3 linked regions of the Macaca mulatta genome follow. The protein of the gene in region 1 interacts with the protein of each later gene in a pairwise test. Links are inferred from orthologs where the notes say so. Each region holds a gene or a part of one and is shown in the gene's direction. Other genes may lie near its edges.

Evidence for each region.
Region 2: the proteins of PRKAR2B (region 1) and TAF12 interact in binary tests that used the Homo sapiens proteins (3 or more experiments, as listed by UniProt). The two-hybrid records come from large-scale screens. The link is inferred for Macaca mulatta from reciprocal best matches to the Homo sapiens genes PRKAR2B and TAF12.
Region 3: the proteins of PRKAR2B (region 1) and KIF5B interact in binary tests that used the Homo sapiens proteins (3 or more experiments, as listed by UniProt). The two-hybrid records come from large-scale screens. The link is inferred for Macaca mulatta from reciprocal best matches to the Homo sapiens genes PRKAR2B and KIF5B.

Annotation. Positions count from the first base shown.
Region 1 is NC_133408.1:146,759,666-146,763,184, forward strand, and holds part of PRKAR2B (cAMP-dependent protein kinase type II-beta regulatory subunit), read left to right. Parts: intron 1-3,043; coding exon 3,044-3,145; intron 3,146-3,519. UniProt on the Homo sapiens protein: Regulatory subunit of the cAMP-dependent protein kinases involved in cAMP signaling in cells. Type II regulatory chains mediate membrane association by binding to anchoring proteins, including the MAP2 kinase.
Region 2 is NC_133406.1:212,279,710-212,283,228, forward strand, and holds part of TAF12 (transcription initiation factor TFIID subunit 12), read left to right. Parts: coding exon 1-252; intron 253-3,519. UniProt on the Homo sapiens protein: The TFIID basal transcription factor complex plays a major role in the initiation of RNA polymerase II (Pol II)-dependent transcription.
Region 3 is NC_133414.1:33,398,272-33,401,790, reverse strand, and holds part of KIF5B (kinesin-1 heavy chain), read left to right. Parts: intron 1-541; coding exon 542-646; intron 647-1,154; coding exon 1,155-1,203; intron 1,204-1,769; coding exon 1,770-1,825; intron 1,826-2,331; coding exon 2,332-2,419; intron 2,420-2,556; coding exon 2,557-2,681; intron 2,682-3,519. UniProt on the Homo sapiens protein: Microtubule-dependent motor required for normal distribution of mitochondria and lysosomes. Can induce formation of neurite-like membrane protrusions in non-neuronal cells in a ZFYVE27-dependent manner.

The DNA of each region.
Region 1 (3,519 bases):
ACTGTATATAGCATTACAGAAGTCACACATTATTTAGTCACAGTTCAGCATTTGACTCTGAAGTCGATTCAGCTGATAAAAATATCTCTTGATCAAAGAGACAAGACATTTTACATTTCTTTTAATTAGAACCAGTTATTATATACTTATTTAAAAATGTGATGAGTCACTTTTTTAAGGTTTAGAAGAAAAGCTGAGTTGTCTCAGGGAGAAGGAAACTCATCATCTGAAGTGTTTTAAGAACTGTCAGCGATTTGAATACCCAGAACCAGCAAAGAAAAAACTCCAAACCGGAACAGTCCTTCACCCACAGAAGTGTTTGTTTGCCTGTCATTAAAGCGGTGGGATAAATCTAGCATCTGCCATGACCTGTTTTATTGAGGAAGGTTTACTTTTCAAATGTAGTCATTCCAGTGGGGTTGCCATTCAGATTCAGATTGTCACACAGTGAGGAAATTGCCTCCTTGCACATCTTCAGAATAAGATCAATGATTTTATAGGTTGGCCTTTTTGAATACTGATAGTTTTTACCCCTTGTAGAAACCTTAATTGGGTATAAAAGACCCAGAATTTCCTAGTCCACGTACTACTTAAGTTCCTAAGAAGGATTAAGCATTTTCAGAGATTTTTAGTTGTCTATACATGTTACTAAATTTTATAAAAGTGGGCAGTTTGTCATGATCCTCCTGATGTATAATAGCTTTCTAAAAATGTTAGGATAATTAACATAATTGCTTAGTATTTCAAGCCTGCTTTTTAAGGGCGACTTGACTATAATAACTCCTTCTCAGGGAGAGTCGAGTAGAAAAGAAATTTTTCTTTTAAGGTCAACAGACTGGAGGTCTGCCTTATAAATGTAAGTGTAAAGATAAGCAAAAAAAGCCCAAGAGAAAAGTCCATTGCAGTATAGCCTCACTCTGTAAATAATATTTGGTCACTGTTAGCCTTAGGGGTAACATGATCTATGTGACTGTACTGATGATTTGGAAGGGGGATTGTTGAAATGGCTTCAGGATGAAAGTATTTGAAATTCTGGACTTTATATGTCACACTGGGTGTGAAGAGATACGTTACTAATGGTAAATTCTTTCTGAGAGAGATAACTGATTATGATTAGTTTCTAAACCATTAAGCTATTTTGAGTCTTCTCTGTTTTGCAATAAACTCTGTCCATAAAAATGGTGTTATACCTGATTTCCAAACCTGATTATGTATCAGAATCACTTTGGGAGCATTTATGAAATACACATTATTGAGCCCTACATGCAGAGATCTTGAGTCATTCAAGTCTGGTGTCTCAGAAATCCTTTTTAGTACTCTAGCTTATTCTGATGCAGAGCTAGGCTTGGAAATAATTTCAATATTTGTGCTAATTATCGTAAAATTTTCTTTTAAAAGAAGTATTAGGAGTAAAACAAGTCCAAATTACAGCCAATACCAAATTGGGAAACAAGATGTTTAATTTACTAGTGTCCTAGTCCTTTTGGGCCGCTGTGACAAACTGTTACAGAATGGGAGGCTTAAGCAACAAACATTTATTTCTCATCGTCTGGACACTGGGAAGTCCAAGATCAAGGCACCAGAAGATTCGGGTCTGGGGAGGGCTTGTTTTCCTGTTTAACAGACAACGTCCTCTACTTGTGTTCTCACGTGGTGGAAGGGGCAAGGGAGCTCATTAGAATCTCTTTTATAAGGACATTAATCCGATTCATGAATGCTCCACCCTCATGACCTAACCATCTCCCAAAGACTCCACCACCTAATACTATCCTGGGTGATCAGGATTTCAACAGAGGGATTTTAGAATGATAGAAACATTGAGTTGCAGCCCATCGCACCTAGAGACTTTCATCTATACTGGCCTTTTTCTCTATTGCACTAGTTCGTTTAAATTCAGCCTTACTATGGTGGCATAAGAAAGAATGAATAAGACCTAGTATTTGGTAGCACATAATAAAATTGTATAATTTTAAAATAAGTGTAATTGGATTGTTTGTAACTCAAAGGATAAATGCTTGAGGGGTCGGATACCCCATTCTCTATGATGTGCGTATGTCACGTTGCATGCCTGTATCAAAATATCTCATGTACCCCATAAATATACACCTACTATATACCCACAAAAATTAAAAATAAAAGTAAAAAATATTAAATTGTTTGCATAGTAATTTATTAAATAATATATCCCAATTTTTACTTTATTAAAATGGTATAATTGTTTATTAATGAATGCCAAGCTAACATAATTATTGAGGCTTTTATTAAAGAATTAAAATATGAGAGATTATTTAAAATAAAATTTTTAGGAAAATAATTTTTTGAGCTGTATCCTTAAAATTTTTACTAGTTCTTCAACCGAGTTCTGCATTTTTGAGGGCATGTAGTATAAACATAAACAGGAACCTTTTAGACTGTGAACATGGTAAACACTGGAATTAGATCTTACTCAAAAACATAGTTGTAATTTCTCTGTGCCTCCACATTAAAAAAAATTTTTTATGGGTACATAGTATGTGTATATATGTACAGGGTACATAAGCTATTTTGATAACAGCATACAATGCATAATGATGACATCAGGGTAAATGGAGTAGCCATCACTTTAAGCATTTATCATTTCTTTGGGCATATCTCCACATTTTTAAAAAGAAAATTTTGACATAATGTGGATATGAAAAAACATAGAGTACATAACACAGAGTAAAAGAACACAGTGCTACCATATATTTTAAAAAATGCTGTGATAGCGCCTCCTTGTGGGCAGAGCCCAACATGTTGGTCAGATTTCTGTTATGTATGAAAGTAAACATACTTCCTTAAAAAAAAAAAAGAAAACAGTATTTTATGGGGTTCTGTATTATATTTTGTGCTTGATGAAATAAAAATATGAAATGAGTTGCATTAAAAATATACTGATGTTAATCTTTTATTTCAGAATCTTCAATCATTGCTTCTTGTAGGGAATAAAATAAAACTATTTGTATAGCTTTTCCCCCATAAAATTTACCTTTTAACTGTCTTTTATTTGATATTCTGCCTTTAGGACAGGGTAACCTTCAGGAGAATAATTGTGAAAAACAATGCCAAAAAGAGAAAAATGTATGAAAGCTTTATTGAGTCACTGCCATTCCTTAAATCTTTGGAGGTAAGTGCATGTTTATACTTTTATTTTATTTTGCTTTAAAAGTTTCTGTTTTGCTAGGAATATTTAGTTCTATAGAAAAATTTCCTTGAATAAAAAAAATTTATCCATGTTTTTATTTGAAGAGATTAAGTGGTAATGCTAGTTTTTATAACTCATTGTTTCTTCTGCTATCTATAATTGCATTTGTTTTGTTATTTGAAAGTTGTTTTGTATAATTGCATTCCTACCCCGCATCTATAGCACATGTATATGTGGTCTTTATCTAATAGCAGACGTCATACAATCACATAGATGTAGGCAAGAGCCACTAGTTGTAACTTTACAGGGAGGCGTTCTCTAGGTAGAAGATGTCCTCTCTGGCCTCTTCCTCTCAG
Region 2 (3,519 bases), on another chromosome or scaffold:
TTAATTGGCCTTGGTCCTCACAGCTCCAAAAAGAAACAGGATCTCGATAAGCTCTATGAGCTGAAGTCCAAAGCTCGGCAGATTATGAACCAGTTTGGCCCCTCAGCCCTAATCAACCTCTCCAATTTCTCATCCATAAAACCGGAACCAGCCAGCACCCCTCCACAAGGCTCCATGGCCAACAGTACTACAGTGGTAAAGATACCAGGCACTCCTGGGACAGGAGGTCGTCTTAGCCCTGAAAACAATCAGGTATCATCCTCTTACTCTTTCTTCTCTGTGCCACCTCTTACCTATTATTTCAACCTGCAATACTTAAAGAGATGTCCATCTCAGATGCTGCTTTTTTTATCTTAGCTGTAAAGGTCTTTTCTCTCTTTTGGATTTCTAACTTGTTTTGTTTGTTTTAATATAAGTAGAGAGTTTATTTGGGCCAAATTTGAGGACTCCCAACTCAGGAGGCACAGATTCAAGTTGTCCTGAATATATACTCCTCTAACATTCTTTAGCAAATTATCATTTACAGTGTTTATTAATTACTGTGTTGTATATGGTTGTGTGTATGCATATATCCATCCATCCATCCATCCATACACACACAATACCTTGCCTATGAAAGGTGTTTTTTTCTTTCATTTTGATAAGTACTTTATATACATGTTAACCATGTAGTTGTTAAATAAAATAATAAATTGATTCATTATTCCTGTGATAAAAGTACTCTTGCTTCTAGTCATTCCATCTTGTAGTTCATCCAGTTGCTGCCATTATTAATTTTCTTCAGTGATTCTAAAATCTGCTCCATTCTTTCTACCCATAATTCTGATTCTGCCCTCCAGAACCACAAGAAATAAGTATAATTCCTTTGACTTGTTTTTTGTAGGCTGTGTAGAATGGATGAGTTGGCCCAGTATTTCAAGGGAATGAGTGGAGGGACTTGCAAAGGTTAATGAGAGCGGGTTGAACACTCAGGATATCAACCTATGTTGAATATGGAGTCTGTTGTAGAAGACAGAATTTAAAATTGTGTAGGTAGGGCAGAACATAGTGGACGTATACTAACAAATTTCTATTGGAACTTTTAGGCAATATACGATCTTTGCAGATATTTAATAAAGGAGTAAAAGTAACATAATAAAAATAGTGTATCCTATAGAGGATTAACTTGGCAGTAAGGGGACAAGATGGGTAAAAAAGGGGGTTAGACTGGGTGGATGACCAATTCTAAGACTTTTGCGGCCGGGCGCGGTGGCTCAAGCCTGTAATCCCAGCACTTTGGGAGGCCGAGACGGGCGGATCACGAGGTCAGGAGATCGAGACCATCCTGGTTAACACGGTGAAACCCTGTCTCTACTAAAAAATACAAAAAACTAGCCGGCCGAGGTGGCGGACGCCTGTAGTCCCAGCTACTCGGGAGGCGGAGGCAGGAGAATGGCGTGAACCCGGGAGGCGGAGCTTGCAGTGAGCTGAGATCCAGCCACTGCACTCCAGCCTGGGTGACAGCGCGAGACTCCGTCTCAAAAAAAAAAAAAAAAAAAAAAAAAAGACTTTTGCAATAAATCAAGACATGTAGTGAAGGCTTGAATTAGGTGATAATGATAGAATGAAGAAGAATGGATGGATATGAGATGTCATTAACAAATATTTATTCATTTTTTCTTCAGAGAAGGGGTTTTGCTCTGCTGCCCAGGCTAGAGTGCAATGGTATAATCATAGCTCACTGTAGCCTCAAATTTCTGGGTTCGCCCGGGCATGGTATCTCAAGCCTGTAATCCCAGCACTTTGAGAGGCCAAGGCGAGCAGATCGCGAGGTCAGGAGATTGAGACTATTCTGGCCAACATGGTGAAACCCCATCTCTACTAAAAATACAAAAAAAATAGCCAGTCATGGTGGCGGGCGCGTGTAGTCCCAGCTACTTGGGAGGCTGAGGCTGGAGAATGGCGTGAACCCGGGAGGCGGAGCTTGCAGTGAGCAGAGATTACTCCACTGCACTCCAGCCTGGGCGACAGAGCAAGATTCTGTCTCAAAAATATATATATATATTTTCTTGGCTGGGTGCGGTGGCTCACGCCTGTAATCCCAGCACTTTGGGAGGCCAAGGCAGGCGATAACCCAACGTCAAGAATTCAAGACCGGCCGGGCGCGGTGGCTCAAGCCTGTAATCCCAGCCCTTTGGGAGGCCGAGACGGGCGGATCACGAGGTCAGGAGATCGAGACCATCCTGGCTAACACGGTGAAACCCCGTCTCTACTAAAAAATACAAAAAGCTAGCCGGGTGAGGTGGCGGGCGCCTGTAGTCCCAGCTACTCGGGCTGAGGCAGGAGAATGGCGTAAACTCGGGAGGCGGAGCTTGCAGTGAGCTGAGATCCAGCCACTGCACTCCAGCCTGGGTGACACAGCGAGACTCCGTCTCAAAAAAAAAAAAAAAAAAAGAGTTCAAGACCAGCCTGGCCAATATGCTGAAACCCCATATCTACTAAAATTACAAAAATTAGCCTGGTGTGGTGATGCGCGCCTGTAGTCCCAGCTACTCAGGAGACTGAGGCAGAAGAATCACCTGAACCTGGGAGGCAGAAGTTGCAGTAAGCCGAGATTGCACCACTGCACTCCAGCCTGGGTGACAGAATGAGATTCTGTCTCCAAAAAAAAAAAAAGGTTTCTTTTTTCCTTATTTCAAAAATTATACAAGTTTATCACAGAAACTTCAGAAATACACAAAGAATAAATAGCCCATAATTCTAATGCCACCACCCTAAAATAGCCATGGTTAGCATTGTAGTGTATGGCTTTTGGTATTTTTCTTTTTTTTTTCTGTCTCTCTCTCTCTCTCTCTTTTTTGAGACAGAGTCTCGCTCTGTCACCCAGGATGGAGTGCAATGGCATGATCTTGGCTCACTGCAACCTCCATTTCCCAATTCAAGCTGCTCTCCTGCCTCAGCCTCCCTAATAGTTGGGATTATAGGCACCCACCACCACGCCCTGCTAATTTTTGTATTTTTAGGAGAGACGGGGTTTCGCCATGTTGGTCAGGCTGATCTCGAACTCCTGACCCCAGGTGATCCACCCACCTCCCAAAGTGCTGGGATTACAGGCATGAGCCATCATACCCAGCTCTTTTTTTAATTAATTCATTAATTTTTTAAGTGGAATTTTACTGGAAGGTTTACAGCAGGAAAGAAAGGAAAGTACACTTGGAAGAGACTCAAATGGGCACTAAGGAGGTCAAGTGCCTAATTTTTTCTTTTTTTTTAATTTTTAATATATTTTTTAGATTTTTTTTTTTTTTGAGATGGAGTCTCACTCTTGCCCATGCTGAAGCGCAGTGGCGCAATCTCGTCTCACTGCAAGCTCCGCCTCCTGGGTTCACGCCATTCTCCTGCCTCAGCCTCCCAAGTAGCTGGGACTACAGGCGCCCACCACCATGCCCAGCTAATTTTTTTTTTGTATTTTTAGTAGAGACAGGGTTTTACCATGTTAGCCAGGATATTCTCGGTCTCCTGACCTCGTGATCCACCCAC
Region 3 (3,519 bases), on another chromosome or scaffold:
TAATTATCAGTGCTGCTGTTAATAATAGATGGGGACTCACTATAGCTTTGCTTCTAGAAAACAGCCTGTGATTTTCTGCCACTGCTAAAGAGCATCTGTTTTTATCATTTATTTGACTACTATATTAAGTAAATGACTGCTTTTAGTGTGATTCATATTACTGATTTTCATATTATAGAGAACAAGGACATCCTAGTATTTGCATGAATTTGCCTTGAAGTAGAAGGAGCAATGTAGAATTATGGAAAGAAACTAAAATCTTTTTTATTATGTTCATTTTACAATGAACATTTTACAAGCATGGATAATCTAAATCTAGTGATTAAATGAAGTGTTAAGATCTGTTGGTGACCCATGTGGTTGATGTACAGTACTATGTGTATGTGTAATAGTTGAATTGGATTTTTTAGGTATTTACAGAGCCGTTTCCACAAAATACAGTTCCCATCCTTTCTTGACTATAAGTTGTAGATTGAAACTCTTTGTTTTTACTTCATATTTTATAATTTGTCTAAGAAGTCTAGTTTTGTTTTTTGTTTAGGGTAAACTTCATGATCCAGAAGGCATGGGAATTATTCCAAGAATAGTGCAAGATATTTTTAATTATATTTACTCCATGGATGAAAATTTGGAATTTCATATTAAGGTAAATTCCTTGAGGAAAGTTTGTATTTTATTTTACAGCAAGAATACTGTTCTTAAAAAATTGTAAATGCTAGTTTCTTTAAAGTAATTTTAAAAATTATTTTTATGGAAAGGCATAGTTGAAAGATCATTCAGGTTAGTAAACTTGGATTCTTGTTCATCTGCCATTAGATGAACAGGAATGTTAACTAACTTAAATGATTTAGTCTTTAGCCTCCTCCATAAAATAAAGGAGGTTGCTTTACTGCAGAACTTGAAAGTTTCTACTACACGAAACTATTCTAATTCGTTTTAGATGAAGATAATGTGAATTATGTCCAGTGAGAAGACTGCTTAAATAACTAAGCTAATTTGGTTAATTTATGTCTTCCCATTAGAATGTGAACTATGGCTGGTATGTTGATAACTGTTCTCCTAGTCTAAACAGTGCCTAGCACTCAGACCTCAATATGTGAGTAAGTTATTATATAATTTTAGTTGATTGATGTTTTTTTAAATTTGCCCTTTAGGTTTCATATTTTGAAATATATTTGGATAAGATAAGGGACCTATTAGATGGTAAGTTAAATTCTTGCTAGTTAATCAGTTTTAAGTAGCATCTGTTAATTCCTTTTTAATAGTAGATATGAGACTATTTCTTTGTAACCTGTATGAAACTGTCTTAAGTTATTGGAAATAGAATTTTTTTTTCTTCTAAAGTTTTAGTTGAATACCTCTAAATAGAATAATTTGTTTAAAGCGATGTTTATGGGTACTTCTTAAGTAGTAATTAGAGCACTGGACTGGGAGTTACATAATCTGAGCCCTGAGTTCTAGTATTCTGTCAGCTCTCAATTAGATACGTTGTCCTTAGGCAAATCATTGAACCACTCCCGGTTAACGTTCTTGTTTATAAAATGTGGGTGGTATAGGTTGGAGTGGTCCTAAAATTCTATATTGTTACATTGGTTTCTATTTAGATCTCCTACTGTGTCTATAAGGTCTGCTTTAGAGCAATGTTTTAGCACTTTTTTTAGAGTTCAACTATTGCTGTTAGGCTGCTCAGAGACGCCTATCAATTGAATTATTTCACATCCAGTGTTAGTTTTAGGAGAATGTTGCTAATATTTATTTTTCTTTTTCAGTTTCAAAGACCAACCTTTCAGTTCATGAAGACAAAAACCGAGTTCCCTATGTAAAGGTATTTATAGTACAGTTGTCTAGAAAAACCCTGTAATACTTTTTTTTTGAGACAGTCTCACTCTGTCTCCCAGGCTGGAGTGCAGTGGTGCAATCTTGGCTCACTGCAACCTCTGCCTTCCAGGTTCAAGCAATTCTCCTGCCTCTGCCTCTTGAGTAGCTGAGATTACAGGCGTGTGCCACCACGCCCAGCTAATTTTTGTATTTTTTGTAGAGACGGGATTTCACCATGTTTGCCAGACTGGTCTCAAACTTCTGATCTCCTGATCCACCCGCCTTATTTATTTATTTATTATACGGAGTCTCACTGTGTTGCTCAGGCTGGAGTGCAGTGGCTCACTGCAACCTCCACCTCCCAGGCTCAAGCAATTCTTCTGCCTCAGGCTCCCAAGTAGCTAGGATTGCAGGCATCTCCCACTGCGCCTGGCTAATTTTTATATTTTTATTAGAGACAGGGTTTCACTATGTTGGCCAGACATTAATGTATTTTTAAAAATTATTTCACAGGGGTGCACAGAGCGTTTTGTATGTAGTCCAGATGAAGTTATGGATACCATAGATGAAGGAAAATCCAACAGACATGTAGCAGTTACAAGTAAGTAGAAAATAACACCGGTTAGGATTTAAAACCAGCTTAAAATATCCTTATCCAGGTGATTAATTATAAGATTGCTTTAGGGAAATTGTTAAGAGGAAATCATGTTTATTTATATTTGTGTAATTTCCTTGCAGATATGAATGAACATAGCTCTAGGAGTCACAGTATATTTCTTATTAATGTAAAACAAGAGAACACACAAACGGAACAAAAGCTCAGTGGAAAACTTTATCTGGTTGATTTAGCTGGTAGTGAAAAGGTAAAGTCTTCATGTATTTTGATAAATATTTAAGCATCTTTGTAAACTTTAGTTTGAATTGGGAGTTATGCAGGATTCGTTGTTGCATCTTGAAAACTTATCAAATTGGATTTGGTAACCTGAGATTTGTAACTGCTGATACCATTGCTTTATGATGACATCAACTGAATAATCAGTTCCAAGTTACTGTTGTTTGACCATAGTCTAGTTCAACTCATAAATAGTTTGTGACTTAAGATGTGTTCATGGTGAGAACTTGTTCGGTGTATGTTGTTATAAACTTTATTAGGTATCCCTTTTCTAATTTTTGGTATGTATTTTATCCATATTGGCCAGCGGGGTCCCTATTAAAACTGGTAACTGTCCATTAGTCTTTTCTGGTTTGGTTGGACTTGCTTCTTTCCTTTGGATGATTGTTTCATTATTACAATTCTATACAGTCTGATTCTTGTCTGTATCAAATTAAGTTTGAATGTTATAATAGGGACCTCTGTGACCATTTTTGCTGTTGTGCTAATTTTGTTTCTTCTGCTTAGAATGATACATCTGTTCTGTTCTGTTGTGAAGTCTTATACACATCTTTCGAAGATTATCTAATGTTGAGAATTCTCCTAAGTTGTTTATTCAGCCAACATTGCTAATTTATTGGTCTGACCTATCTTTAACATAGATACTAGCTGGGCGTGGTGGCAAAAGCCTGTAATCCCAGCTACTGGGCAGGCTGAGGCAGGAGAATTGCTTGAACCCAGGAGGCGGAGGTTGCAGTAAGCCGGAATTGAGCCACTGTACTCCAGCCTGGGTGACAGAGTGAGACTCAGTCTCAGAAAAAAAAAAAAAA